Pelodiscus sinensis: one gene and its partner. The protein of the gene in region 1 purifies or fractionates together with the protein of each later gene. This does not show direct contact. Links are inferred from orthologs where the notes say so. Each region holds a gene or a part of one and is shown on either strand. Other genes may lie near its edges.

Region 1 (3,745 bases):
GACGGGGCCAGAGCGACTGTGGGGAGAATGTTACTGGGAGACCGGGAGTGGATTTCTGCCAGATAGCTTCCTGGGGTCGCACCTGAGGGCAGCAAGCCCTGGGGTTTCCTCTAGGATTCACATTCCCGACTCCTGACTTTAGGTCAGTGCAGCCAGGCAGCAGCATCTCCTCAGGCAGCTCCCTCCCTGCTCTGCGCCCCAGCGTCTGTCTCTGTACTAAAGGGCTATAAATCCGCCCTTCACTGGAGAATCACAGAGCGTCCGATAACAAAAATCACAGCTATGTCAGGCTGCAAGGGAGCTTGCCAAGTCCAGGCCCTTGTGCTGAGGCAAGACCAAGTAACCCTACACTATCCCTGACAGGCACGTGGCCATCTGCTCATAACCCCTCCGACGGAGGCATCCACGTGCCCTTGGGGAGCCTAGTCCAGAGCTTAATGGCACTTTAATATGAGGAAAAAAAAAACTCGACTCCAGACAAACTCCCTGGCTGTAGATTAAGTCCCTTGCTGCTTGCCCTGCTTTCAGTGGGCACAGCGAACAGATCCACCGGCCCTTAACAGCTTGTACGACTATTATCAACCCCCCCCCCACCCCCAGTTGTCTTTTATCAAGACTAAACATGCACAGGGTTTGCAATCTCCCCTCAGAGGTCAGGTTTTCTGACCCTCCTCCTCTGAACTCTCGCCAACTTTCCTGAGGGGTCACACCCAGAAACGGACACAGGACTCCAACCGAGGCTTCCGCAGCGTCACGGAAAGCAGGACAGCTACATAAGTAAAGCTCCTGTTAACACACCCCAGCCCGATACCAGCCCTTTTGGCAACTGATCACATTGTTGGTTCATATTCAATTCGTCATCCGCTCTAATGCCCACATGCTCCCTCCATTACCCCCACCCAGCCAGCTGGTCTGTTTTGTGCTGGGCACTTCCCAGCTCCTGCCTAAATTCAGCACTTCGCACTTCTCCTTAGTCCACTTCCTCTGTTGAGTCTCTCTCCATTCTCTACGTGTCAAGGTTGTTTTGAATTCCAACGGCCATCCACAGTGCCGGCAACCCCTCTGGGCTGGATGCTATAAGGGCAGTCTATGCTCATTATCCAAGTCGTTAATGAAACTATGGAACAGGCTTGCCTCAGGACCCTGCTAGATAGTACCCCCAGTTTGACAGCAAACCACTGACTACTCTTTGAGGGCCACCGTCAACCAGTTATCTTGTGGTGATTTTATCTAGACTGCCTGTGTCAAACCCTGTACCGCTCCCCTCTGCCCTAAGCCAGCATCTGTCAACAAGGGAAATAGGTTATTTGGCAGGATCTATTGTCAACAAAACCACCGGCTCCTCCCTCTGACCCAGGCATCCTCTAGAGATACTGTTTTGTCATTTGCTCCAGAATATTTTTCAGGTACTGAAGTCCCCATATTGAAGTCCCCTATACGTACTATGCAGGATGCCTGCTTAAGGAGAAAAAACCCTCTGAGTACCTGCGAAGACAAGTTTCCAGGGGGATCGCCTCCCTTACTGAACACCCTCAACTCCTGTAGGAGTGTCTGCTCCCACACAGAAGATCTACCTGATACAGAAGCAGCAGCGTGGAGTGACCGGAGGCTCCTCGGGAGCAGGCCTGGAGCGCAGTATCCCCCCCCGGGGGACTATCAAATAGTCGAGTAACCAATAAGAATTCATGAGGTTAACTGACTATTCAATGAACTGATATTTCACATCGCTAGGCCTGATCTGACAGAACCGTGGCATGTCCCAGGGGTCTCAGGCCTAGAGGAGCCCCACCTGGGAGAGCCACTCACTAGGCTGGAGAGATCAGAGAACCGATTCATTGGCACCCAAGTCCATTTGCTATTGCTGCCCATTCCTGACTTGGAGGGAGGCTGCTCCTGGCTTGATGCCGCTCAGGGTCAGACCCAGCTTTCCCATGAGCCCTCTCCTCCAGCATCGTAGGGGTGAAAGTGGGACGCCTCCTCTGCCCCGCTGGAGGCAGGGCTGCGGGGAGAGGGCACCAACCCAGAGGGTATTGAGAAGGGACTCTAAGGAGAGACGATATGTCAGTGCTCCCCTCTCTCAACACGCCTCTGCAATCAGGTGAGGGACCCCGAGAGTTAGACGTCCTGGGGGCCCAGCCCCACTAGTGCAGGCTCCCCACGGGAAGAGCCCAAAGACAGTGGGTTGGGAGCCAGGGTGCCATTGGGATGGGAGGGGAGCCAGGCCTCAGTCGGAAGGGGGGGGCTGCCTCCAACGCAGTCCACCCAGGAGCAGAGCCTGCCCCGGGCTGGGGACTGCTGGGGCCGGCGCCTCCCGCTGGGGGCTCTACGAAAGGCCTGGGCTCGCTGAAGCCAAGGGACCCCCCGGGCAGCATCCTCTGGGCACCACGGGGGGGGGGCAGCACGTGGAGCCCGGGGCCCGCGGGCCTGTGCGAGCCCCCCCCCCCAAGCTCCTCCCCCCGCAGCCCCGGGGCCTCAAGCAGAGACTCGCACGAGCCAGTTTGCCCCCATCGCACCCTGGCTGGAGGGGCCTGGGGGGCTCCCCAGGGGCGGGGCCCGGTCGCCATGGGAACGGGGGGGCTCCCCAGGGGCGGGGCCCGGTCGCCATGGGAACGGGGGGGCTCCCCAGGGGCGGGGCCCGGTCGCCATGGGAACGGGGGGCTCCCCAGGGGCGGGGCCGGTCGCCATGGGAACGGGGGGGCTCCCCGGGGCGGGGCCGGTCGCCATGGGAACGGGGGGGCTCCCCAGGGGCGGGGCCGGTCGCCATGGGAACGGGGGGCTCCCCGGGGCGGGGCCGCACCTGGTGGCGCCAGCGGAAGAGGCTGGCCGTGTCGATGTTGGGGTGAGTCTCGTCCTCATCGTCCGACACCTCGATGTGGTCCCAGACGCTGTAATCCACCATGGCGCCACTTCTGGAACCCTCCAGCCTCCGCACGCCCACTTCCGCCCTCGCCCTGACTCACTTCCGGCGCCCGTCGGCGGGAAGGCTTCGTACGCGCAGCTGCGCGTGCGCGCCCACGCCCCGGATACGCATGCGCAGCAGCGGCTGGCGGCTCCACACGTTCAGCGGCAGGGGCACGGGGGCGCGAATTCTGGTCCAGAGGCCGTTTACTGCGCATGCGCTCCCCCTTCTGTGCTCCAAATGGCGCTTCTCTTAAAGGGCCACACACGGCCTGTGTCTTCAGGGGTCAGCGGGTTGCAGGCGCCCTACCTGCTGCGCGCGCACGCGGTGTGGGAGGGGCACGCCCAGGGTTACACGCCCCGTGGGCACCGGCCTGGCCCCCACGTGCCCCGCAGAGGCGGTACCGGGTACCCACAAAACAGCAGGGCCACGCACGGCTGGGGAGCTGCACCGTGCACCCGCTGGTGCCCCGCTCGTGCTGTTCTCACGCTCACTAGCTGGGGGCTGTTCGCACGTTTGTGGTCCCTGAAGGGGTTTGTGTTTTCAGGGCTCTCCCCACAACCCAGCGCGAGTCGGCTGAGAGTCCCCGTGTTCCGATCACTGGGGGCTGCAGACGGGGCCAGACTCCCCAGCAAATCCTGAGAAAGGGAACACGCCTCGCCCCAGCGCGTGCCGTCTGCACAGCGTCCGCTCTGTGCACCACGAGTGGGTGCCCTGCTAATCGGCTGGATGGCATTGGAATCTCTTCTGGGTGGCCACCCAAGCGCTCAGCTAACTGGGAACACTGGTCCGGAGCAGGACGTAAAAAAATGGTATAGCTCAGTATACAGCTTACACTGCACAGCC
Region 2 (3,745 bases), on another chromosome or scaffold:
TAGTGCAGAGATTGTGGACCTCATCCGCAATAGGCACAGGAAAGTGGCCGTCTAGGGCAGAATAGCTGCCAGCCTGGCCACCCAGGATCAGGTTTGCATGAAAATCAAGGTGGTCCAGTGAGACCCCCGACCCTGAGCCCTGAGCTTAGAATGGCCGTACTGGGTCAGAGCAAAGGTCCATCTAGCCCAGTAGCCTGTCTGCCGACAGCGGCCAGCACTAGGAACCCTGGAGGAGATGGACCGAAGACAATGACCAAGCCATTTGTCTCATGCCATCCATCTCCAGTCTTCCACAAACAGAGGCCAGGGACACCATTTCTACCCCCTGGCTAATAGCACTCCATGGACCCAACCTCCATGACTTTATCTCACTTCTCTTTAAATTCTGTTATAGTTCTAGCCTTCACAGCCTCCTGCAGTAAGGAGTTCCACAGGTTTACTATTTGCTTTGTGAAGAACTTTCGCTTATTAGTTTGAAGCCTGCTACCCATTCATTTCATTTGGTGTCCTCTAGTCTTTCTATTATGGGAACTAATGAAGAACTTTTCTTTATGCACCCTTTCCACACCACTCATGCTTTTATAGACCTCTATCATATCCCCCCTCAGTCTCCTCTTTTCTAAGCTGAAAAGTCCCAGTTTCTTTAGCCTCTCTTCATATGGGACCTGTTCCAAACCCCTGATCATTTTAGTTGCCCTCCCCTCTCCCACCCTCTCTCTTCCCCTCTCCCACCTCCTTTTCCCAGTCTCCCCGAGTTCTGTTCAATAAAGAGAGTTTCTATTTTTGAACACACGTGTCCTTTATTTTGTACATCAGGAAGGGGGGCTAGGGAGGGGTAAGTGGAAGGAGGTGAGGGAGGAATGGGGTACAAGCCCCCGATGGAGAGGACTGGGGTGGCTCTGCAGGCTCCTCAGAGTGGAAGCTCTCCTGCAGCCCCCCGCTTGACCCTCCTCCCTGGATGGCAGCCTGCGGCAAGTGCAGCTGGGCTGATGGCCGAGTGCTGTGATGTGCCGAGCGTGGGTACTCAGGGCACTCCAAGCCAGGACTGCTTTGCTGTCCCTCATCGAGTTAGACAAGCAAGCGGGGAACCCCTGAGAACTGTCTGTCCAGGGTGGGGGTTGGGTCCCTTTAAGCACAGCCCTCGGCTAGCCTGAGACATTCCTGAGTCCTAACCTGATGCCCTGCCGGCACTGCTTCCGGCCATCCTTAACCCTGGTTCAGGGTCCACTCAATGTGGACATGCTAGTTCGAATTGGCAAAATGCTAATTCGAACTAGTTTTAAGGTCTAGATGCAGTAGTTCGAATTAGCTTAGTTCAAATTAACTAATTCAAATTAAGTTAGTTCGAATTAGTGCTGTAGTGTATACATACCCCTTGTGTCTTTCATCTCTCCTCATATGGGAACCATTCCAAACCCCTAATCATTTTAGTTGTCCTTCTCTGAACCTGTTTTAATGCCAGTGTATCTTTTTTGAGATGAGAAGGCCATACCTATACACAGTACTCAAGATGTGGGCGTACCATGGATTTATATCAAGGCAATAAGATATTCTCTGTCTTATTCTCTATCCCTTTTTAATGATTCATAACATCCCGTTTGCTTTTTTGACTGCCGCTGCACACTGGCCTCTGCACACTATGTGGACATTTTCAGAAAACTATCCAAAATGACTCCAAGATCTCTTTCCTGATTAGTTGTAGATAAATTAGCTCCCATCATAGTGTTTGTATAGTTAGAGTTATTTTTTCCAACAGAATAAGTGTACAAGTGAAAAATGTGTACCTTGAGGCATCAAAACCCAACAGCATCCCACCAATTTTTAAGTGGTCCTCTGAAGTTTATGGTTAGGAGCAGCTAAATTTGTGCTCTATTTTGATAGTAGCAGTTTGGAGCCCAAGATAAAAAAAATAAGTAGGGTCCAGCTTTTCCCTTGCAAAGCACTTTCTGGAGCCCATTCATGCTTATCCTGGCCCTATCAGAATCTTATGCTTATTGCTACCATTTATTAAAACAATTCCGAAAACTAATTACAAAAGAAGTCCCATTGTGCTAGGGCCTGGCTCTGCACACCCACAGAGCCCCTACTCCTTGTGACAAAGGGCACAGCCTGACCGGCCGAGGTGCAGCAACCTAGCAGAAGGAACACAACGAGAGGACAGCAAAGGGCACAGGAGCGCCACATCTAGGTGTGCGTGGGGGGATCGCGAGGCAGCGAGGAGCTGCGGAGGGAAGCGCCGAGGCGCGGGCTGGAGCAAAGCCCCAAGCACGCCAGGAGCCCACCCTCGGCCAGCGCGCAGCGACGCCCGCACCCTCCCGCCGCAGCTCAGGGGTGGGGGCGACACTGATGAAGCCGGAGAGGGCGGGGCGCCCCGCGCGCCTGGAGCCGGGAGCAGCCGGGCGGGGTGTCGCTCGCTGGACTCGGGCTGACAAGCGACACCGGGGGCAGGCGGGCGCCCTACGAGGCAGCGGAGCCGGCTGCCCCCGCCCTGCCCAGCTGCAAGTAACTCAGCGAGCTGGGCCTAGCCGCCCCCCGCCCTGCCCCGCAGCAGCCTCCCAGCCGCGGCCTCGGCGGGGACAGAAGCCGCCTCTGCTGTCCCCGCGCCGGCCCGCTGCCCGCCCGGGCCCCGCTGCCGGGCCACGGGACCGCTGCACCGCGCCGCGCGCGGCACCTACCTACCTGACAAGCCGAGCCGCTCCACCACAAAGTGACGTCACAGCCCCGCCAGCGTCCCGTGAGTGTTGCCAACCAATCAGCGCGGAACTCTCGCCACCCGACAGCCAATCCACATGGACCCCGCCCCCGCGTAACACTCTCGTTCCAGCAACCAATTCCGGAGAGCGGAATGATCTACAGTTCCCGCCTCTGCTCCTAAAATGAAGCCAGGCGATTGGCAGAGGAGACTCATGGGCGGGGCACTGGAAGACGTGGGGAGGGCGTGGCTCCCTTTTTTTTGCGCTGCCTGCTGTAAACGCTGATCATCCCTGCCGGGCCTAGGGGTTAGTTCGCGGTGGGGATCTGGGTTCTAGTCCCGCCCTGCGCGATTATGCGCTTGAGCCCGGCTTTGGCTCTCCCCCGCCGGCCGGGCAATGCGGGCGGATGCTGTTATGGCTGGTGGGACCGAGTTGCTTTGTGGGGTGTCCCCCTGGAAGTGTTTCCCAGCAGGAGCAGTGTCTAGGTGCCCTTAGGCGAGCAGCTGCCTCTCCAGGTGTCTCGGGCCTGCCCCGGAAGGCGGAGATCGCTGCTGGGGCTGCAAAGAGTCGGGGGATTTCATGTGTTTGCCTTGCCCGTGGTGTTCTTTTTCCGTGTGTTCAGAAAAAGTGTCAAGAGGGTTAAAAAGACTGGGAGGAGTAGCCCTGTTAGTCTGGAACTTGCAAAGCAACGTGTAGTCCTGTGGCACGTGGCAGACTGACACAGCTGTTGTATATAGGAGGGGATGGAATCGCAGTCGGTTAAACGATAAACAAATAAGTGAAAGCTTATTGACCAATGTTACTGACTACACGTACTTCCCCCCCACACCACCTCCTTCAGCTGTGCCAGTACATGTTTCAAAGGGTTGGCCAGCAGCCTGGCTCACTCCCAGTTCCTGCCAAGTTCCTGGAGCTACCCCCACAGTGGCTCTTCATGAGAAGTCATTAGGGAGCCAGCAGGCAGGCAGCCAAGTTCAGTGCTAGCTGGTGCCAGATCCTGGGAGCTACCACCAGCTGCAGCTTTGCAATGAAGTTATTAGTGCAGAGCCACA

What was found.
Region 2: the proteins of CDC37 (region 1) and FER purify together in Homo sapiens (affinity purification with mass spectrometry; 3 studies listed by BioGRID and IntAct, with this or other methods). This does not show direct contact. The link is inferred for Pelodiscus sinensis from reciprocal best matches to the Homo sapiens genes CDC37 and FER.

The regions. Positions count from the first base shown.
Region 1 is NW_027465991.1:191,929-195,673, forward strand, and holds the start of CDC37 (hsp90 co-chaperone Cdc37), read right to left. Parts: upstream 2,958-3,745; 5' UTR 2,900-2,957; coding exon 2,798-2,899; intron 1-2,797. UniProt on the Homo sapiens protein: Co-chaperone that binds to numerous kinases and promotes their interaction with the Hsp90 complex, resulting in stabilization and promotion of their activity. Inhibits HSP90AA1 ATPase activity.
Region 2 is NC_134716.1:63,688,230-63,691,974, forward strand, and holds the start of FER (tyrosine-protein kinase Fer), read right to left. Parts: upstream 2,804-3,745; 5' UTR 2,680-2,803; intron 2,611-2,679; exon of another isoform or gene 1,785-2,610; intron 1-1,784. UniProt on the Homo sapiens protein: Tyrosine-protein kinase that acts downstream of cell surface receptors for growth factors and plays a role in the regulation of the actin cytoskeleton, microtubule assembly, lamellipodia formation, cell adhesion, cell migration and chemotaxis.